Linked DNA regions of Drosophila melanogaster. The protein of the gene in region 1 interacts with the protein of each later gene in a pairwise test. Each region holds a gene or a part of one and is shown on either strand. Other genes may lie near its edges.

Region 1 (7,072 bases):
TTTGTTCCATTATTAAACGGCACTTTGGCCACGCAGGCAAACTACCCGGCGTTTCTTCAACTTTGGCCGACAGCTCCAATGGTTGGGTGCGTACCATCTAAAAACTGATTCCATCGACTGCCAGACAAAAGCGGTAACCATTTGGCCACCACCCACCACCCACCAACCAACCAACAACACAGTAATTAGAAATCGGGCACAGTTGCCTGGGGTACTGGGAACAGTGTTCGCAGCCGCTTAGTGTTCCCACTGCTGTTCCCAGTATTTGTATTTCTCTTAAAAGCGCTTAAGAGCGGATTAAGCATTAGCTTTAGCTAAAGGAAAATTAATGTTTTTCTTATATGCAATATAAGCAGTTAGGCTAACTATTCAGTTGTTAACACAATAAAGTTAAAAGGTGTATTTATTTGGACATATTACATTTAATTACAAGAATGCTGGATCTCTGATTGTCAGGCTTTCCCCTCCGCAGCTGAGAACAGTTGCGACCACAAACTGTACCCACTTGAAGGAGAGAATGCAGTCAACATTCTGCGTCCGCGATTCATCCACAGGTTGTTACAATATAAACCCAACCAATTAATCTAAAATGGGTTAATTTGCGAGTTTTGCAGTGTCAAAACAATAATATTTAACCAGGTGAAAAACCTATAATTTGATAAGCCTATCAAGCTTGTTATCGCTGCCATTGCATTGTCATTTGGTTGGGGAAAAACCTCTGCAGGAATACACCAATCTTATCGCGGTGCGTAATGTCCATAAGCCCCCCATTCGCATTTCCCCAACTTAAGCAACACAAATAGAGTAATTACTCACTCGTAATGTATCTAGTTTAAAGTGTAGTTTTAATTCATTTCCGCCAGCTGCATTAATAATGCAATTGAGTCATTTGCAATCGCACTCAGAAAGTAATGGGTATTATATAGTTGAGCTTAACGAATGCACTTGTACCGTGGAGAAGAAAATAAATAAATTAAGTTTCCATAAAAAATACGAAGTATATAGATTTGAGTTTTGTTTTTTTTTTATTTAATTTCATTTTTTTAGATGTTTTTTTAATGATTTTTTATAGAATAATAGAATAGAAGCTTCTGGGTGTTAAATGTATAGTAATATTGAAGGTTATATGTGTGGGAGGTTGTATTGAAGGAATCTTAATGCATCTTAAACGCTGGCTGCGATTGCCTAATCACGTCCATGTCCATGTCCATGGCCATGTCCATGTCCATGTCCATGCCCATGTCCATGAGCGCGTTTTCCGTGCTTCTTTTTGCCCTTCTTGCGCTCCTCCCTCTCGACTTTGGGGAAACTCTCCTGCTTTTCCTTGCGGCAGTGGGATCGGGACAGAGAACGACTGCGACGACCTGGAGGGAACTCAGCTGGTGGTGGTCGATGATGGGCAATAGGAAACTCCGGACGGGGCTGGTGCTCAAAACGCGGTCCTTCACCGGATTCTCTTTGGGGAACGTCAAAGAATGGTCCGAATTGGGGGCCATGTCCATGTTCGACAAATGGACCATGATGTGGACCAAAGTGATGGCCATGGTGTCCGCCGTGATGGGGACGGTAACCTTCATGGCGCGGACCAAAGTGGTGGTGGCCATGTGGAGGTCCGAAGTGGTGCCCGCGTCGATGGGGAATCTTCTGCACTTCGCCATCGGAGCTGGAGCTGGAGCTGGAGCTGGAGCTGGAGCTGGAGCTGGAGCTCGATGAGGAGCTGGATGAGGAGCGCTGCTGTCTTTTCTTCTCCTTGCCCTTTCCCTTGCCCTTGCACTTCTGCCTCTTCTTCTCATCCTCCGAGGAAGAACTGGAGCTGGAACTGGAACTGGACCTCGGCTTGCGGCAGTGCTTCCTCTCCAGCGAACCGGATGTTGAACGGGAAAGTGATCTCTCTAGTCGACGGCCATGTCGTGGACGCGTTTGGCCATATCCGTATCCGTATCCTGGTCCGAATCCGAATCCGAGATCTCCACGACAGTCGCGCCTAGATAGTCTAGGCAGCGAGTGGCTCCTCCGATTGGCCGCGGCATTGTCCAGGGCCCACGGCAGGCCCATCCATTGAAAAAACTGGGACTGATCATGCCAAGGTCCGCGAAAGGATCTCCGATCGAAGTCAAAGGGAGAGGGCCCAGCGTGAGGTCCAAAGTGTGGTCCAAAATGGGGACCAAAGTGGTGACCATGCGGATGGTGGTGGTGCGGCCGTCCATGATGTCCATGTCGGCCATGATGATGCGGCCCGTGACCATGTTTGTGGCCATGCTTGCGACCATGCTTGTGGCCAAAACCGTGGCCAAGACGACGACCGAAGCCGTGATGGCCATGTGGTCCTCGGCGCCATGGATTGCTGATCCAGCCGTAACCGTTATAGAATACCTCTTCGTCCTCGGAGCTGGAGCTCGAACTGGAGGAGCTGGAACTGGATGAGCTGGAGCTGGAAGAGCTGGAGCTGGAGGTGTTGGAGGGCTCCTCGCCAGCCGCCGTCTGCTCTTCCGCCTGTTTTTTGGCCTGTTGCTTGGCCAGCTTCTTGGCCTTCTTCTTGTCCTTCTTGGCCTTCTTCTTCAGCTGCTTCTTGGTCCTTTTGGTGCCCTGTTCCTGCTCCTGCTGCCGACACCTGGCCTCCTCCTCGGCCAGCAGGATCATGGCCTGCTCCAGCATGCGCTGCACCTTGGTCACCTTCTTCAGGGCTTTGGTGTATCGCTTGGAACTGGCTGGTGGCATCCTGGCCTCCTCCTCCACCTTGGAGGTCGTATCCTCCACAAAGTCAATATCGCAGTCGATCAGCTCTTGGGAAACACGCTCCCGATCCTGATCCTGCTGCTGCTGCTGCTGCAGTCTGGACAACTCGCTCATGTTGATAGTATCTTCAATGCGATTTACCTTCACTGGTGTAATACTAGTTGCTTTTTTGCTTGGTTTAACGGTTTAGAGTTCGCTGGGATACGCTATGCCACAAAGCTGAAAGCTTGCAAACTGATGCCATTCGCTTGCCGGCCGGCACTTTTTATACGCTCAGCGGCGTCGGCGGTTGGCGGCGCCAGCGGAGCGGCAAGGCGGCAAAGGGGCAAAGGGGCAAGGAAGCGGTGAGAACGCCCCACTGGTGGAGCACTGAAATGCGTCGCAGAACAAAAACGGGGAACAGTGGAACCTCAATACAAATTAAACATTTCAATAGACAACAGAAAAAGCCCTTCGCAAATTTATAGGTGTGTGAATCTTGGCCTTAAAATTCAATCCATGAAATATAAAACGTATCTAAATAAACAAAATCTGCAATCTAAATGTGCATCTAACATATTCTAAAAACTGGCGCTAAATAACAAAAAAAAAATAATATTATTTGCAACACATTGATTGAGACTAACGTGAGTGCGGTTGATCTAGGTCCACGTTAGGGAGGCTCGTCTGTAGCTCGCTGCTCTCTCACCAATACCAACGCGCGCGTTTGTTTTCACAATTTGCTATCGAGTACGTGGATTTTGCGTCGTTCTCCGATTATCAAAACAAAACAAAACAAAGCTAAATAAAACCGGAATAACGCTTCAAAAAAAGCTTTGGCAGTGGGGAATTTTTTGCAAGAGTTTCGTCATGTGATGAAATAGCTCCACAAAACGCAGCACAAGAAAAAACTAAACAAATGATTCAAATTAACGAAATTAAGTCTATGCTGAATTTCGCCAGACACTGCAAATATCGAAATGGATAAAGAACAGTCTGGAAAATGGAATTGGTGGTCTTCCTGGCAAAGTTCACAGCCCAAAAAGGAACCGAACTCACTTTGCAGGACATTTAGGCATCGGGGATCAGGGATCAGGGATCATTCGTTACATTCTCAGATGGATATGCTCATAATGCTCCATGATTAGTTATCACTCATGCACTAAGTAGATAATCCATCTGTAAATGACATTTTTCATATTGGAACTTAAATTCCAATGCAACAAAAATTCAACACAGGCTGTTTTTTTATTTTATATATTTATATTGAAAAAATACACTTAAAACTATTTAATTTATTGCATAGAGATCAGCACATCACCACAACATCGATTCTTTTGATAAGTAGAATTTCAAAATTATATATAAATTATATATATTATATACATTTATATTTGCACCAATAACACATCAATATATTTTTGAAGGTCTTCTTTACGAATTTCACCACAAATCAGAAAATACTGATTACGCATATGATTTTTTATTTATGTTTTAAAAATTTCATAAATATTTGGTAAACGGAAAAACGTAAGAAATCACAGATTTAAAAAGGGGTATTCAAAACATCACACTTCTCATACGCAAAATGGGACTTCACATTATAGGCAATATTTGGAACTTTTTGTTTGAAAACAATACGAAATATATTTATTTATTCTTCAATTTCATTATCATTCACAGAATTTTAATATGGCAGCAGGGTGTTTTGGTGAGATTTCTTGAGAAACCCATATCAGGGGAGCACTTATTCATAAAATGGGAGTAAACATAGTTCGGCAACTATGTATGTTTGTAAATTTCATGGGACCTCTTGGGACTTGAACACGAAAACAAAAAATGAGTATACACTTGAGTTTTCATTTTTGCATCAACTTTATCACAACGCAGCTCAACGACTGAGGCATCAGATCTTTGGATCTTGTTTATAGCATTTCCAGTTTCTCAGAAACTGGAGAACCGTTTGGGGGGCAGGGAAATATGAGTCACATAGTATATACTTATGTATATTGGTTGGGGTATGGGCAACTTATGTAAGGCGATCGCAATAGGGCACAATATCATCCCATAGGGATTGTTTAGGATATATGTATATATATCCATGAAATGCGATTCTTTTATAAGAGAACGGAATCTCTGGCACTGGGCACTGGGATATACTTTTCTTTTCTTGACTTTTCATATTTTATTAATTCTCAATGACTTTTGATATCTTGTGAACACGTTGCGAAAAAACGCTCCGATTTGTTCGGCCGATGTCGCCAAATGAAAGCCCCACGTAAGCGAGATAGTGCCACTCCATTGCTCCACAAAGTTTTTGGCGAGAAAGCTTAAAGCTTTCGTTCACTTGATAATGAACGAAACTCGGAGAGAAATAGAGAGCGAGTAGGGTTGCCAGAGTGTTAAAGTATTAAACTGATCGTAAGCTTTGTTGAACCCGAAACTCAACACATTCCGAAATCGATTTGGATTCGGAACAATCGACTGTATCGTAAACGCGAATTTATCAAAATGTAATAATATAATTTTAATTTTGGAAGCAGAGCTCTCTTAGGTATTGAAACTATTTAGTCTTTTGAAATTATTTCACGGCATATACATATATAATATTTATTTGTTACAAATTGAAATCATTAAATTAATTACATCTAGATCCCACAGATAACCTTAAGATTAGGCAGATTTTGGGCGTTTCGGCAATATCGTTGCCATCCTGCCCAATGACGAAAACCATCCGAGGTTTGGATGCGCTTGGCGCAAGTAACCGACTCCCTTAAATTTTCGTCCAAAAAATCTAAAAATATTTATATTTAGTTAAATTTGAATAGAATACGATTTGCCAGAGCAGCCCTCACAAACCTTCGCACTTGGCATTGCAAATGCCGCCACGCCTTCCCTCCTGACAAAACCTGCCATTGATTTGGAACAGCCCATAGTTCCGAGATCCATTCGCATTGGTTGTAATCCTGCCGGTATCCAGATCGCTTTCGTGCTCTAGCAAACAAATCCCTTAAATGGGGCAAAATCAAAAGTCACAACCCATTTATAATAGTTTGCTAATCTTAAGATAGAGCATACAGTATAGAGCATTTTTAATATATGTACATCTGGGTTTCCCACTCACAATTCGAGAGCAGACTGCGTTCGAAACCATGCTGATCGAGCAACTTGCGGGCCAGTTCACAGCGCAGGAAACGCTTGGCGGAAACCACGCCGCACTCGATGGCCAGAAGCAGGCCCAATCCCAATCCCAGCCAGTACCACGATCCGAATGGCGCAGCTCTCATATTGCGACTGCCTGGTGATGGCGATGGCCCCTGTGGACGCACCATAGAATCAAGCGAACGCGACGCGTGACCTTGGCCAAATGACTCCGGAATGGGATGGAATCAAATGGGGTCAGATGGAAGGCAGATAGTGGGAGAGCCGGTGGCCGATAAGCTGGGGGCGTACTAAATGGAATCGGTATGGCTTACTCCATGATGATGCCTAATCTTCCCCTGCCCGAAACGAAGCTCTTCCGTTTTCGGTTATTGAAATCACAACAGGCGGCGGCGTTCATAAATCTTTTGTCTCTTTAATATACAAGAGAGTTCATAGATTGATTAGTTATCATAAATTAAACGATAGTTAAGCCTAGATCATAAGATAAACTGTGTGTATAATTATTTATTCTTCGCTATTGTATAAATCTCTCCTGTTGCCAATTCTTTCGCTACGTAGGTCCAAGAACACATTTACTCCTTCGGCTGAACTTGTAAATACATATCTACGTGGGCGGTATGTGTATATGGGCCCGTAATATAGTGTATATATATTATATATAATTAAGGTGTACATAATGTTATGTTACTGCAAAGTTAAATATATTGGCAGAAGCGAGCAATCGGTTTTTTTTTATTTCATTTGTATTCGTTATTATAACTTATGAACATCTGCAAATAGTTTCTCTCTTGGTTAACCGCCTCCATTTCATTTGTGCTTATCCGTTTTTAGCTATCCATTCTGCGGTCTGTCTTTTCCTTTCGATCCATTTTTTTAACCCCCAACTCGAGTATGTTTAAGTAACTTTCTGTCATAATGGGCAATTTTGGTAACAAAAGAACTTACAGCTAATAAAACATAATTTTCTCTTCAGTGTCTTTTTGTTAATGACTAAAAAAATAGTACAATTAAATCGAGGACATAATAGCAAACCTCCTGAGAACTACAATTTAACATGAGTGCGTGTGTCTACTCCTTTGCATCATTTAACTAACTAAAGCTTGTTCCAAAAAAAAAAAATAATAATAATAAAAATAGCGAAAGTGTACAATTAATTTTGAGTGGGAGAAACCAAATGCATTTGGCATGTGTG
Region 2 (5,043 bases), on another chromosome or scaffold:
ATACAAAAAGGAAAAGCTCAAGGTGGTAATGAAAAATGTATTTTCTAAAGTACATTAAGCTTTCTCCCCGCCTCCCTTCAATTGGCCGCTCTAGGGTTCTTCAATGTTTGCATGTTCTGCAGTGCTTGTTTATGCTGTCAGTATACATTATTCGGTTTGTTTATACAGTCCGACTATATAGGCAAGTTCTTTTGTTTATTGTGCAAGCGTTTCGTTTCTATGGACACGACTTCATTTTCGGTTTCTGTTCAATTAAACTACACCTGCCCAGACGGCAAACATGCGAACAGCAAAATGTTGGCACAAGATAAAACATTGAATTAACTCGTAGGCGATCGTTACGCCGCGCTGCAAACTGGAAAACTGACCTATGTCGCAACTTCCTCGGTAGTCGGGCCTAGGAATTACACATGACGTGAATGTGACCAGGCTCAAAAGCCATCCATATTCACCAATACCCACCATGGTGGATAGCTAGTTTGGGAGTCGACCTGGTAAAACCCAAACTGAATGACGGAGCTTTATCTTGATGTACTTTCACTCGAATCCTAAAAGCTACAGTGCATACTAACCCAACAATTCAAAACGAGTTCGTAAAGCGGCGATTATCAATACTCTATCATGAATATATATGTATATATATATTAGGGCGGATTAAACCATAAATCATCCTTAAACTGAGTTTTACGAATTCACAAGAGCTCGTATGAATCACATGTATAAATATGAAAAATCTCTTAACGTACGCATTTGGGAGTATGTAAGATACTAAATTAAATAAATAATTTAGTAATCTTATGATTAAACTATAGGTTACGTTTAGTATAAGCTGGAGCTCTATTAGTTGCACCAGTTGGAATGCAGTTTGATTGTCTGATTCGTTGTGACCTTTTAATGGCTTTGTCAACCTGATTCACAGCACTGATTTCTCAATTACAAAACTTACATTCATCACTGGCGCCGAGTCCAGAACTGAAGTGCTGATATCCTTGTCCGAACTGGACGCCAGTGTACTCTCGGTGGCAAAGGTATCGATGCTGGTGCACTCCGAATCCTGGCTGAGTTGCAAAGTGCCATCGGGACTCTCGTCCGAATCTTCTTCTCCGCCGCTGCCATTTTCCTCCAAGGGAGCCAGTGAACTTTTGAGGACGCCCTCATCGATTTGGGACTTCTGCCGCAGTAGGGATCCAAACTTTTCGAAAAATCCATCATCTCCGTCTTGCAGTCTGCGGAAAAAGTGCAATTAGTAAATAATTCGAAAAAAGTCATTAAATATTATCTGCACTGGCTAGTCATCACTTAATGGGGATTTCATTTCGATTAGGGATACTCGTACTATGAGCAAGCTTATGTAGATGTATTTGAAAGCCCAGTGAAAAATACCCTAAAACTGAGTCATGTTTTAGTTGCGAGTGGGTGGTAAAATCGATCTGTGGCTTCCCCCACTCCCTTACATCACTTGCCATTCCTCACGCACACACGTTAATTTCACTTGATAATCTTTAATTTATCTGATGACACAGTTCCAGTTCTCCAAAATGTTCATATTTGTCTAGAGAAATAGAAACACACATTTCGGCTCGTCTGGCGAACAAATGTTTGTCTATCGGTGAGTTTTCAAGTTTTCTACAGGTATGCGTGAGTCTGTATTTTATTCATCCAACTTACTGGTGTTCATGCTCCGTGGGTGGATTCATTTTGAGCTCCTGCAACTTGAAGAAGAAGCCCTTCCACATCTGCTCCTCGTCCATTGTGATGTTGCGTTTTTAGCTTCAGAGGCACTGAATCGAAATCGGAATCCAACAAGTGTCACCGGAGTGTAGAAACATACTAACGGCTTATTTGCACCGAAACCGAAACGAACAAACGATGTGATTCATTGCCAAAGCTGCTCTCCGACGTAGATTTTTCTCAGTGGTATTCACACGCTCTTCCCTACACTATCGCAAACACATTATAATGAGCTATGGATGTTTGTAGTATCTAACATTGGGCGAAAGTGGGGAAATGGGAAGGAACGGGATGATACATACAGACAGACACCTGTTGCCATGGTGATCGGACGTTTTTTCTAGCTCTCATGCTAATGATTTTAAAAACTTATAGTTTGTAACTCTTGAAATTGTTGAATGAAAATCCATTAAGAAGTTACCAATCATCAATGGTTCTAATGGTGGTAAGCCTCACGCACACCTGTTTATGTACATATACTCTTGAAGGGCTAGGTGTTGGTATTCTTGTAACTACCTTTGCAGACTGGTGCTTCCATGGTCAAACTACGCACTTTAAGGCACATTTTCAGATGCCAAGCTAAATTATGTGCGCAACTATTTAACTACTTTAAAAACATACCTTATTTTTTCAAATATCCTTAATTCCGAGCGCCGGAAGTAACTTTTTAACATGATTAAGTCCTTTGCAAGGTCAGAATGCCAGATTGAATTAGGCTAAGAGGATTTGCAAATCCATTAGGAATTTCCTTAATTTCAATTCGAATTAACGTCTCCGTTTGTTTTTTTCGCACCCTTTAAAACTTTATTTATATCTTTTAAAATAAACAAAGATTAGATTAGATCAGTTTTGTTTATTAATTTGGTATGTAAGATATACCAACATAAATGAATCTACCGAATACCGTATTTCGATAACTTACGAATGGCAGCCCTGCAGTCCGATAATCATAACAAACCCACGGCAATAACAACAAACAAATCGTATCTCTTGTTTTTGCTGAAATTATAAATTAAAAAGCAATGAATTTAAAGTATAAGCGGCGCTACGAGAGCTTAAAACGCTCCGTCAAGAGTTATCTACTGGTAAGATCTTAGAAACTAGGGCGAAGTTATGCAAACTTAAGAGTATTTACAAGAAACCTTAAGATTCCTACTCACATATATGTTTACATTATAGCATAAAACATTTACGGGAAGTTATATGATCTATTAACTTTATAATACCAATTTCAGGAGAACGCCGCCCTCACGGATGAGATCTGTCGTCTGCAGGCCGAACTATCTGTGACCCGATCCCAAAGACTTTACTTGATAGAGCGCCTCATGTTTCACGAGGGCTTGGAGAAATCCAACAGTGGACGACCCAGTGTCTCGAATGGAAAAAACGACGCCGCTGAAACCACAAAGAAATACAGTCCTGTAGTTTCGCATAAGAACCCCGTCGAAGATAAGCCAAAAAATGTTACAATTGTACGGAAAAAGAAGCCCATGTTTCCGATGAACCTAAATAATGTATTACTCCACTCACTGGGCGAGATTATATCAGTGAATCCCAATTTTCACACTGAGAGCTGGATATATCCCGTGGGATATGTGGCCACACGAATCTACGCCCATCCCAAGGATCCGCGCAAGAAGTGTGTGTTCACATGTAAGATTTTAAATAACGCCGGGATTCCTCAGTTCCAAATAATACCCGACAATGATCTGGATGGAGTTTTCTTCGGAGAAAGCGCCAATATGTGTCACATGGAGCTTCTAAACTCCATTCAGCGGTCTCCCTGCGTTAAAATTAAAATACCGTTCGACGTACAGGGCGAGGTTTTCTTTGGCTTGTCAAACCAAAAAACACAATCGCTGCTTATGATGGATCCTGCCTTTCATCAGTGCACGAATTTCAAGGGATTCGCGGTGCAGAATGTGCAGTCCTTAAACAGCGCGTCTTTATCCTTTGAGACGCTCCAGGGATTTCTATCTTGATAAGATCTGTTTTTACTATTTGATTCTCGATATAAGAATAATAAGTTTATAATATAAAGACGAATTTTATTTCTCTGATACAATCGTTGCGAGAAGTACTTAGTTATGTACCTAAGTATGTACCTGGTACATGATACGAAAACACTAAAAACCCGAAACAGCTGATCTGTTTCAATTCCATCTCGTCCGTTTCAAAATATACTTTCCAGCTGTATAATACGTTATAATACAGTTTAAAATATTAAATTATTACGAGTGTTTGGGACAGATTGGTTAACAATTTCCAGTTAAATAGATAACATATTATTCTAAAAACTCTTTGTCCCACTTCCGCATGATTCAATGTGCTAAAATCATATGTTTTATGTGGGCATTCGCGGTTATTTCAAATGAAACTGTGCATTTGTACAATTGTTGTCAACTATCGACTTTTCTATAGAAATGCCGAAAAAAACAAGCTGGCAACCTGCCGAGGCAATCGGAAATACAACCCTCGAATCGAAACATATGTACACAACACCTATCTGAAAAGTATTAAACAATATTTTGGGAAAGTTGTTTTGGCTAGCGTTAAATTAAACGACATCCCAACCAGCAGCTGAGGATATAGCCAACCAACAGAATCGGAATCAATCAAGATGGGGAGCATAGAAAAGGCGTGCATATCGGGATTTCTATGCCGACTGTGTTCAGAGATGCACCGCACAGTAATACATATTTATAGTGATCATGGCCAGCGTTTGTGTCTTGTTGAGAAAATCAACGGTTACCTACCAATTACAGTGAGTATTGCCAACTAATGGACGCTGCTGAAAAGGCGGAGCTACACACAAATCACGTTCCCATCGTCAAGGATGTTTGTGTGTACCCAATGTCAGCCATTCCAATAGTTTTTCCCAACTATCAGCATCTTGTTAAATAATTTATTGATTTATCACCTACTGCTCAATTGCACCAGATATCTCCGACTGATCCATTGCCAAAAACCATATGCAAATCATGTCTGCATCGCGTGGAGCAGCATTACTCGCTCCTGATGCGTCTGACGCGGATGCGGGAGGAGCGCAAGTTTAAGTTAATCAAATACAAAGCACAAGTAAGTAGTTGTAGTATTGTTCCATACAAGATAATTGTACCCAATACCTATATCATTGATTATCCAGAGAAATCCCTCGATATCCAGCGTGGAATCGGAAGAGGACGTGGTGAGTTGTACAGTTCAATCTATTGAAGAGGCATCATCTCACCCAATTCGTTCGGCTTTTCCAGATAAATTCAAGCTCGGTTCACGAGTTCCCCAATCGGAATGAGGAGGATCAAGCGACCCGCC
Region 3 (5,992 bases), on another chromosome or scaffold:
GAGCTTTCTAAGTGGTTATTCTTGGGGTCATCACGTTTATGGGCCGTCTGGCCAGAGGATGAGCCATCAGCGTATACTCCCAACTGCGTCTCTTGTCGTTGGGCACCGATGGCGTATCGCTGCAGCACAGGCAGCTCAAGCTGCGCGGAAGCAGTTGCTCCGAAATCATGGTCCAGTGGAAAATTTTGACTGGCGATTACGTCGTCATCCGACCGCGGATGCATCCGCGCTCTCCGCCGCTGCAACTTGACCCTCAGCCTTCCACACGCATCTGCGCACTGGACGCCAACCGAATTTAAAGCCCGAAACACTTTGAAAACCAATGATTGAAAATTCTGCGTTTCTTATTTTAAACTACACAATAATGAGGTATTTTTAAATATTTTGTGATCATTTTAAAAATTAATTTAAAATGAACTTGATCATGTTTAGTACCAATGTATCATTGCAAATTAATATATTGATTTTTTTGATTTAAGATCTAGTTATTTCTCTCAGTGCGGGCATCATTACTCACTTTGTTGACAATGTCTAGCGTGGAGCAGCTGGATATGTTGTTGTCACTCTCGGTGGTGTCCCGCTGCGTGTGCTCCGGAGAGTCCAGGTCGGAGGATCCCACCAAGTGCCTGCCACCGGGTCCTCCACCGCGCGGCGAAATGCTACCGAAGACGTACTCGAAATCCTCGCCAGCCGCGCTGCCGGAGTGCTTGCCCTGGAATCCGCTGGAGTCACGCTGCTTGCCACTGCGACGCGGCACATCGGTAGCTATCTTGGCCACCCGGGCGACCTGCACATCATTCGACATGGTGGCAATGGGCGGCTGCAACGACTTTCCGACTAGAATTGGCCTGATTTGGGCCGCTTGATGATGACTTTTGATTGGTGCTCCATTCCCAGGATATGTGGCACTGGTGTTAACTCTACATGGCTCATTAAAAACTTTTCTTAAGGCATTTTTAATTCAAAAACTCGAAATTACTCCAACCAGTCGGGATATTTATTGCATTCTTATCAGAAAATGTATACCCAGAAATAAGAGTGTGTGAGAGTGTGTTTATGCTAACGGTATGCAACACTCCGCATATTATTTATCGATAACTTGGGCGCGTCTTTTAAAACTGTATGCTATAGTTATTGTACATATCCAGTTTCAACGCAATATCGATTGAATAAAGTGATTTATTTTATATAATCTGGTTTTATTGTACGCTGTTGCGGTAATATATATATGTATTATATCTTTTGTCAACACTGAGATATGGTTTCATCCATTTCTTTGGGAGTCCTCAATTGAACTAGTTTTTCTCTAAGGAATAGCCGCCAGATTCTCTGCTCGTATCGTCACCATAGCCTCGTAGTCCCGCATGTCCAGATCGTGAAGTGCTTTCTGGACCAGAGTGGCCAGGTGAGGCGGCAGGTCCTTCAGATCCTCCATACGTTCCCGTGCCACTGCACTGGATATTCGTGGCGTGCCGTTGCAGCGGCTGCTCAATCCACAGTTGCCCGAATCTGTTGTGGCGGATGAAGACTTTTGGAAGTCATCGGGCTGCACATCTGCACCGTACACAGACGAATCCACGGACTCCGTTGAAAGCGAGGACATTCCATCGTCGGAATGCAGAGCCTCAACGGACTTGTGCTTCTTTGAATCTTCATGATCCGCTGTAATGGCGACGCCTTCGTTATCTGGCTCAATGGACGGAGTGCTGCTGATGTCGGCGTCATCTACCATGGCGGCACAATAGCCATTGAGGAGCAGCTGCGAAGGCGCATAACCATATTCCACGTCCTCCTCCTGCTCCTCTGCGTTGTCATCGTTTCCGGAGAGGAGTTGTTGCCACCGCTGCTCCAGCTCCGTCATTTTGCCAGCCAGTATTCTGCAGGAAATATGGGTTTATGAAATATATATCAACTTTCAGCTGGATTTTCCTACTTGTTGGTCTTCTTTTGGTGCGTCAGGGCCAAGTTCTTGTCGTTGAGATTGTCCAGCAGGGCCAGACACAAGGATTTTAGATCGCTTAAGCTCTCGGTTTTCTGAGGCAGCTCAATGCCACTCTCGAGGATTGTTTTCACTAGGGTACAAACAAATTAGAAAGGCATGAAAGAGGTGGCCACCATATAATTACTCACCTTGCCGGGGGCTTAGAATGGTGTCCTCATTTGTGCTCCCACCGCCAAGTTTTACAATTCCCTTCTTTCGTTTTGCATCCAACATTGTCTGAATGATTTAAATATAAATAAATAAAATGGTAATAAGTCTTAACTAATACCAGTACCTTGTACTTATTGATGCTCTGTTTGGTGAGCTCCAGTTCGCTGTCTTGGATCTTCACACGTTCATGCAGGTACTTGTTCTCCAGCAAAACACCATCGATGTCCAGGAGCTGGAAAATCAATAACTATCAAGTAAGTACTATATAGCATCAGTTAACTCACCCTTGGATGCGTTTTCTTCGCCCTGAGGGCCACAAAGAGTTCATGATTTAGGCGGTGTGCCTTGCACTTGTAGGCATCCCGCTCGGTTATCAGCTCCTCCTTCTCATCGATCACCGCCTTCAGGTCGAAGGCCAGCTGGGCATTCCTTTTTTTGAGGCCCTCCAGGTGGCAGATAAAGTTTGCCCGCTCACGACGCCACTGCAGCTCCTCCTTGTTGCGAGCGGCATTCTCGCTGGCCATTGCCTGTACCCGCGACTTGTTGCTGGCCTCCGTCTCCCGGAGTAGTTCCATGTCGCCATGCAGCTCGTTGAGCCGCTGCCTCAGGGCTTCCACTTCGGTGCTGAGCTTTAGGTTCTGCTCGCGCGTCTCGTGGAGCAGGGCTGCCAGGCTGGAGTTCTCGCTGAGGGCTCCACATCCACCGACAGCCAGAAGTTCGCTATTACTCTTCAGCGCGGAGTAGCGCAGCTGCAGGGTCTCCGCCACCAGCTTGTACTGGTCTCGCTCCACGCGAAACTGTTCCAGCTCCTGGCGCAGGATTCGAAGTGCCTCCACCTTGCTTTGAAGTTTCCTGTGCACCGCCGAGGTCTGTAAGGGTGGGTCGGTCATACAACGCACTTGGTTCGCTCGAAGGGTGGGGGCGGACTCACCTCTACATTGTACGTGGCCATATGTTGACCGAATCCGTGATGACTAGCCACATCGTCCAAGTCCATGCCGAATGCTTGAGTGGGTTTTCCGTTTGCCGAGCTCGAGATGTTGACATTGACAGTGATTGTAAACTGAGGGCTGTCCGGAGGAGCCAGCTGTATCACACTTTCTCGGGCTCCAAGGACCCCATTCTGTTCCAAAACACACAGCTAGAGTGAATCAATTTTAGATGCGCCTGCGCATGAAATTCGATTCATATCGATAAGCCTAATTTGAAATTAATGTTCTTGTCCTCATATGTAAATATCATTAAACAGCTAATGTCATTATTTTGAAAAGAGTTTTCAATTTATTTCATTCAATTTGCCTATTTGTAGGAATACGGATTTTTCGACATACATATCAGATGCGACCAAACTCCTTCTGGCTCACTGCAGGTTTTTTTGGCGACTTGATATTGCACTTAACACCCTTCTGCGAATGGTTTTCACTTCGGCAATTGTGGCCGTTTTGAAATCCATCTTTTCGACAAGCTTTAGCATGCATTTCACTTGGGATATACTTGGATTTCAAGAAAGAGATCTCAGAAATTGATAAAAACCTACCTTTGAAACCAATCTCCTCACTTAGCTCGTAATATGAACTCAGCTCCCTACCACCTTTCTGCCGTTCACATACTTTTCCGGAACGGCTTCTAGATGTTTGTGTTTTCGTTTGGATCTCCACCACGTCTTGGGTTTGCTCTTCCTCTTCAGGCTCCATGTGAGACTTGCATTGCGTCCAACATGCCTCTCTGATGTTGGTCGCCTTGCAAGTCCTACGAAGATGACACCTTCTTTTACTTGAATTTCGCCTAAAAATATATTAGTTTATAACCGAGTTCATATTTCCTTCTTTAGCTTACTCTATTTGTTTATCTTGAGCTTTGTTTTCCAATAAAGATTTAATGCTGTGCTCATTGTACGATAGCCCCGAAATCAATCTTCTATTGTTGGCCAGCAGTTCTTTCAATCTCCTCATATGATTATTTAGCTTTACATTGTATGCTTCTATTCTATGCAATACCCTTTCTGCATTATTTAAGTGATCATTAAAAGAATTATGTTCTAGAGCAGCAGGATTCTCTACTATCTCCACAATCATGTTGTTTCAGCACAATCAAATCAAATCAAATTTGGATTATTTTTTAGAATTTAGAATTTTAGGGATAAGACTACTTAAGTAAAAGGTATATACTAGTTATATATGATGTAAACAAACAGTTAAGGAATAATTTAAGTCTTAGGGATAGGTTAAGTACTATGATTTTCAGCGGGAGCTCATCGCTTTCGCAATGGTAACCATCTTTCGCACCACGATGGAGTTGGTTCCGTAGTAGGGGTCCACGTCCTGTTTGCCCATGGTCACGTCACACTCCATTCGCGTGGTGGTGGGCGCCACGTAGTCCTCGCCAGCCGTGTCCAGGGCGGAAGCGTGAAACTCTAGGCAGCGACTGACCGTGAGGATCTCCTCCAGGTTGGACACCTTTATGCCGGCGCCGGGCATAACTATAAAGTCTCTTTGATGTTTGGCTATCAGCTGTGCCAGGCAATCTACGCCATCGGCAGCCGTGGGTCGGAATCCGCTGCTCAGCAGACGTCGGAAACCTAGTTCCCGCAACATGTCGACATTCTCGTCCATGGACTTCTGGTCGGTGAGGTCGAAGGCGCGGTGAAAGGTCACTGGCAGACCACCGGACGCCAGCAAAACGTGCCGACACTGATCCACGTTGATGCTGCGATCCGGATTCAGGGATCCGAAAACGAAGCCATCGGCACCGTTTTCCCGCAGCAAGTCCATGTCCGTGAGCAGGGCGCACATCTCCTCGTCGCTGTAGACAAAGTCGGTGCCCCGCCGTGGCCTCAGCATGCAGTAAATGGGCATTGTGAGCGTTTCCTTAATAGTTTTTAGGGTACCGATGCTGGGTGTCAAGCCACCTTCGCCCAATGCCGAACACAGTTCAATGCGTGAAGCTCCGCCTTCCTCGGCGGCAAAAGCCGATCGTATGGAGTCCACGCAGACCTCCAGCTTGATATCGTGGTTGGACATTTCTCTTATCATTGATAAAAGGACAGGTAAACAAAAATAAACCAATTTATTGCAGAGTTCCGATAGGTTTATGTAAATCAGCTGATTCTACCATCAGCTTCTACAGAAGCAATCGATATCTAACCAAGCACGACACGTTCATCGATAAAAACCAGTTAGTTTCCAGTATTGAAAAACAACACTGTGCCTGTGCTGTTGTGAACAATTTTTGTTAATTTTTTAATTTGATTTGCGAGCGTCGTGCGAGCGAAGCGACGGACATCGCACGGAACGGGAATCGCAACTGGGTTCCTGCAGCATGCGCCAGGATACCTAGGCACCAGTAGAGAAGACCAAGCACACTAGTAGCAATGACAATGGGCGAGCCCACGTCGTCTCTCGTTCTGCCCGTCATACTGCGGCCCATTTTCTCCCAGGTAGGTGAAACGATCCCAGGTGCTCGGCTCCGCTCTGCTGTGCTCTGCTCCGAACCCGTCAGCCCCAAACCGTACCTCTGAACCCTTCAGCCCCGTCAGATCGTGGCCTGTTGCGTAAACCTTTACATGGGGTACTTGGGTTTGTAATTGCTTAACTTTGTGTACGTTTACCTGCAGCTCGAGCGACGCGACGTTGGCGCTGCCCAATCTCTGCGCTCCGCCATTCTCAAGTCGGAGCAGAACAATCCGGGCTTCTGCTATGACCTCGTAGCCACAATTGTGCGGCGGGCCGATCTGAATGTTAACCTAAACGAGGCCGTGCTCCGATTGCAGGGCAAAATTACGGAAGCGGACCGTAAGTAGCCACGCCAGCAGCTGAGTTTCGTAGCTAACGAAGTTTCCCC
Region 4 (5,182 bases), on another chromosome or scaffold:
CCAGGCCCTCCTGGATCGCACTGCTAAGCTTCTTTTTCAGGTTCCCGAACATCTTGCGACAACGGATCTCTATTTATTTAACTTAGCGATTTCTAATTGTCTTCGCGCTGGCGTTTTCCATCGAAAATTGAGTGGTAAATAAAGAATCAGCTGTTCGGGCAGGTGCTGAGAGAAAATCGGTCATAGAGAGAGAGAGAGAGCAACAGTTTGTTGCCGTACACGAGAGGCATATCAACTATGGCAAGAGCTCTGGCACGTGGTTTTTATTACTTACTAAAACTAATAAGTATTATTAACATTTCAAATTTTGCATTTTTATTTTATAATTTAAATAAAAAAATGAACCCAAAGTTGATATTATAAACAGACACAACAGGGTATCATTCGGTGGTATATTTAGTATATTACTATTAAACATAACTTAAAAAAAAACCAACCAAATATGAATCTATCTATGGCAGAGCTTATATCTGTAATAATAATATAAAAACAATATTCTTAGTTTGGTTCAACTTCAGTTTGTTTCCTTTAAAATTTCATTCTGATCTTACATAACGATTCTCTAACTAAAGTTTAGCCTAATTAATCCTCGGTCAGGTCCACTGTAGTGACAGCTGTGCTATCGTCCACTTGTTGATTTGTGCTATCCGATTGAGACGGATATTCAGGTTCAGACGCAGGTTCAGTTTCACATGCCTTTTTTTTGGGCTCTTCATGGTACTCAATTATCTCAATATCACTATTATCACCAGATTCTAGGGTTATACAGCTGCGTACGCTGTTCTTTGCTTCTGAATCTGAGTCCGAGCTTGATTTATTGCCGCTGGACTCGGAGCTCGAGCTTACTTTAATGGTGAGAACATTTGGCTCTTCGTCGCTGGATGAAATGGACAGGGCCTCGGGCTTCTCGGATTTGTCCACCTCTTCGTCGGACATAAGTTCCCGGAATATATCGCTTATAGGAGAGGAGGAGTGTTCCTTAGACTCGCTGGCTTTCTTTTGGCTGCTCGGGTTTAGTAATTGACCATAGGCCATGGCCACTGCAAGAGCCATTTGCTTGGAGTGGTTTAGGAACACATCTGAAGGCGGGGGTATACGTAACGACTCGCTGGGTGCGGATTCCCAATCGCAACCGCTGCTGCTCTGGCTGCTTCTTCGTCTTCTGTGTGATTTTTTGTGTTTTTTAACCTTCTTTTTGCGCTTTTTTCGCCGATGTGAACTGCTGCGACTTCGACTGCGGCTTGAACTTCTGCTGCTCCTAGTTCTTCTTCGGCTGCGATGCTTCTTGGCCTTTTTGTGGCGGCTCCTGCTGCGCCTTCTGCTGGAACTTCTGCTTCTATCAACACTTTGAGTTCTGGGTGCATCGCGGCTGTAAAAGTAGTTGGACTTCCTCCTTTCGTGCACATCATCCAGATCCTGCAGCTTCTGTCGGCAATTTGCCTGTGTGCGCTCCTTTTCTCTATCATTATGCCGAATCGCGGTGTTTATGGTGCGGCCTAAGAAGCGTTTGTTTAGTTTGCCCAGAGGATTCACTTTGCGTTCGCTTTGTTTCGAGGTGCTGACACTGGCATTTGCACCTTCGATCTCGCGCATTAGCTCGGCAATCGCCTGACTAACGTGAGAGCATCAAATTAATTAAAAATATATCGGATTGTAATATAAATATTTACTTTGTTAGGTCTGCGTCCATTTCCATTTTTTGTGTTTGTTTATGGCATTTAATTGAATACCAATTGCTGCGAAACAAAAAATACCGCGGACGGTAAGTGCTACTTATAAGTATTTTTAAAATACTAAGTATAAAGCGATTATTGTATGTGCGTTAAATTAGCGTCGATGAGTTCGCGGCGATGACGGAACGGTGGAAATCAAAACATGGGGACGTTTTTTATTTATTTATTTCTTTTCGTTATTTGGAGGTGAATTGCAAAAAATAAAATAAAGATCTTACTAACTATTCCCACATTTTCGGGAATTTCTCCACTCGTAGAGCGTGACCACTTTTAAGGACATTTCTTTAGGGAAACGGCGGGGCAGACGTCAAGACATTCGTTGGGCCACGGGTGACAGTCGGTCGGGCGGGGCAGCAGGTGGGACAGTAAGCGTGGGGAGCCAAGTTTTCAAGTGCATATTTCATATACTTTCTTGAGTCCTATGAACTTAAGTCGTACATAGGTAGTTAGATATTTTTTTAAACGTTATTGCATTTTTTTGAATTCAATAATGAAAGAATAAATTATTCAAAATTCCATCGTTCCTCCGTTCCTCCTACACTAGCGATATTCTTGTCGATTAATATTGTCAGAGTAATCTTTTCTGCAAAATACCACAAATTAGTCCAACGATATCGATTGGCACAATCATCGATTAAAGTTTAAAAAATGACGACCGGCCGCAATAAATTGAATTTCTAGTTGGTTAAAGTAACGTTTATTGAAGAAGATCACATAATCGAGTACGACTAATATCACAGGTGAATCACAATCTTTATGTTTCAGATTCCTGGCCAACTATTTCCTGCCGTCTATCACTTTCTGCATCCAGGACACGTATTTACTGACGCGCGTGTAGATTCCGGGCAAACCTGGACGTGCACAGCCGATCCCCGTGGACACCACGCCCACCAGATGATGCTCCTTGGACATCAGCGGACCGCCAGAATCCGCCTGTGAAGGTAAGTAAACCCGGAGCATAACATGTGTGCCGTATCAGCCAAGTGAATACTCACCCAACACGAGTCGATTTGACCGTTTTCATAACCGGCACACAACTGTGTCTCTCCAATGGTATTGCTCTTGCCCAAGGATCGGTAGGACCTCTCGCACGCCTCGTTGTTCCAGATCTTAACGGTAGCCTTGCGCAGTACATCGGATCGATCGTTTTCCGCTTGGTTCTCGTGCGTCCAGCCCCAACCGGAAACTGTTCCGTACTCCTGCTCCAGACTTCGGTGCCCCTCCTCGGATCCCACGCAGCTGGGCTGGATGTGTGAAGAGAATCGGATTGGCTGTACCAGCTCCAGGAGGGCTGTAAAAGAATAAAATACCAATTTGCAATAGCTTAAGGAATACTAAGAATAATAAGTATTATTTGATTCGTCTCTGATTCATTATGGTTAATGTTAATATCCTTTGTTGAAACTATTTCCTACCTATGTATTTCTGTTTGTTTTTTTAAAACCTAAGCGCATATTTTTAATGGTGTTTTACTAGATTAAAATTTTTTATTCATTTTACTGAAAAATAATGTCATGTTAATGTCATATTGTTGATTTATGATTCAGTTCTGTACATATGGAAAATAATTGAACCTGCAATTACCCCTTAAAAAACACACATACCTATATCGTGTTTCACATCGTTGCAGTCGTATTGCGGATGGGGCACAATGTTCTTGAAGTCCACCCTCAGTGCATCCGGACCGTTGCCAATCCCGTTGAGGTACTCCCTGATGCTATGCAAACCCACAACTCCTTGGATTTGAGCTGGTTTCATGAACTGCTGCAGCCCATTGCAGATGCAATGTCCCGCCGTGAGGATCCATCGCTCCGAGATGATAGTGCCGCCACAAAAGTGACCACCACGACGCATCAGACTGACCATGTAGGGCATTTCGTTGCGCTCCGCCTCACTACCTCCCACGATTTTTGGATTTCGAACCGAGCATGGCTGGTTGCTAACTGTCATGGGAGTCAGAGGAATTTCAATTTGCGTGAGTTCATGATAAGGAGTGTTGAAAATAATTAGTTAATATAAGCAGAACGCATTTATTTATATTTCTCATAATCTAGTAAACTTTTCCTTATGCACGTTTTATGATTATACAAGTTTTGATAGAATCTTGAAATATTTGTAGGTTGAGTTCTTATCAAATAGGGAAGCATAAACTGTTGCAATTGGAACATTAGATGTTAGATTTATCCAGTGAATTTAGCATATAAATCCACAATGCTAAAAGATCATGCTTTCTTAATTGATATAAACTAACCTAAAATATTAAGGACTGCAAAAATGAATGGAATATTAAACACAAGTTAAAAGTTAAAAGGTAGTTCCCAGGAATCCTAATTTAGGAACTATAATTATTTTATTTTTCATATTATATTTGACTTATTACTCTTTTCGTCACATTTGTTCAATCAACTCACAAGCAATTTGGGATTGTGCACACTTCACTAGCGACAGAACCGCGACTACGAATACGATTTTCAACATTTTCTGTGTGCACAACCAGTGTTCTTAGCCCCGAAAAAAAACCCGTTAAGCACGGCTCAAGCTTAAACGAAACTGCCACGAATATTCTGTGCGGCAATTAATTTATATATAGGTGTCTGGGCGTCCAGCGCCTCTCCGTTCCACTGACTTACTTCACTGTCGTCCGGAGTTCTATGCGGATTAGCCGGAAAGCTCGCTCTCTCGGCCTGATAACAAACGGAAGTCGCAGCCGGGCCTTTGGCACCTGTTGCCTCAGCTGAGAGCTTTTTTTGCGCTGCACTACCTGTCTCATCGCCTTTTTTTTTTTTGCTGGTATTGTGGGCATGGGTGCCATGTGCACACGTTATGGCATTTCAATTGCTCCAAGGGGGGGGGGGGTGAATTAAGGAGCTGCCGAAAAGTCGAAAACAAACCCAAAAGTAAACAATGGCCGAAATAAAGTTTTGTGTGTTTTGCGTTTTATGACCCAGCGAAGTTCATGACATTGAAAAGTGCGCGACAAAAGGTGTGACAATATTTATGCTGAATTTTCGATGCCACCACTACGAGTTTATTGCACCTCTATCCTTATTTTAGTACATTATTATTGCGATTAGCACGTATTTAGGGTGTTATTGAAATTGTTGTATGGTTAATAAAGAAAAGGGTGTAAATATTATTATGACTTGTTAATCAACTGAAATGCTATTGCATAACTACAGAAAATTTTATAAATGATTCAAAACCAACTCTTTTGATTTTAAATTTCTTTTTGCTTGCATGTAGTATCTTTTATTTCTTCAGTTCTTATGATTTACAATGCATTTTTGTGTTCCTACAAGATCTAATTTATCTAATCTATCTTAAGAAAGTTAAAAAAGTTTCTAGGATTTGCGTAATCGTTACAGTTATGTCATTGCCTGCATTTGACACAATTAGTTCGCACATTGCAGCTAACCTTAGACGTCATATTTCCATCAGTTTAGACCTGG

What was found.
Region 2: the proteins of CG15784 (region 1) and CG31111 interact in a two-hybrid assay, tested with the Drosophila melanogaster proteins (one large-scale study listed by BioGRID).
Region 3: the proteins of CG15784 (region 1) and CG14868 interact in a two-hybrid assay, tested with the Drosophila melanogaster proteins (one large-scale study listed by BioGRID).
Region 4: the proteins of CG15784 (region 1) and CG14074 interact in a two-hybrid assay, tested with the Drosophila melanogaster proteins (one large-scale study listed by BioGRID).

Annotation. Positions count from the first base shown.
Region 1 is NC_004354.4:5,426,458-5,433,529, reverse strand, and holds CG15784 (uncharacterized protein), read right to left. Parts: upstream 3,960-7,072; 5' UTR 2,851-3,959; coding exon 1,186-2,850; 3' UTR 1,004-1,185; downstream 1-1,003. Other genes in the region: CG16756 (uncharacterized protein), read right to left, coding at 5,364-5,509, 5,575-5,724, 5,840-6,002.
Region 2 is NT_033777.3:25,053,808-25,058,850, reverse strand, and holds CG31111 (uncharacterized protein), read left to right. Parts: upstream 1-2,673; 5' UTR 2,674-2,753; coding exon 2,754-2,816; intron 2,817-2,966; coding exon 2,967-3,713; 3' UTR 3,714-3,775; downstream 3,776-5,043. Other genes in the region: stac (staccato), read right to left, coding at 947-1,226, 1,669-1,751; CG31109 (uncharacterized protein), read left to right, coding at 4,352-4,495, 4,672-4,809, 4,877-4,918, 4,983-5,043.
Region 3 is NT_033777.3:15,366,630-15,372,621, forward strand, and holds CG14868 (uncharacterized protein), read right to left. Parts: upstream 3,317-5,992; 5' UTR 3,150-3,316; coding exon 3,084-3,149; intron 3,022-3,083; coding exon 2,437-3,021; intron 2,385-2,436; coding exon 2,277-2,384; intron 2,219-2,276; coding exon 2,131-2,218; intron 2,073-2,130; coding exon 1,934-2,072; intron 1,878-1,933; coding exon 1,307-1,877; 3' UTR 1,187-1,306; downstream 1-1,186. Other genes in the region: CG34404 (uncharacterized protein), read right to left, coding at 518-805; CG6136 (uncharacterized protein), read right to left, coding at 4,393-5,184; Ccm3 (cerebral cavernous malformation 3), read left to right, coding at 5,523-5,588, 5,766-5,943.
Region 4 is NT_037436.4:18,862,750-18,867,931, reverse strand, and holds CG14074 (uncharacterized protein), read right to left. Parts: upstream 1,708-5,182; 5' UTR 1,671-1,707; intron 1,613-1,670; 5' UTR 1,594-1,612; coding exon 583-1,593; 3' UTR 501-582; downstream 1-500. Other genes in the region: Dysb (dysbindin), read right to left, coding at 1-52; CG6865 (uncharacterized protein), read right to left, coding at 2,511-2,666, 2,729-3,024, 3,338-3,676, 4,145-4,211.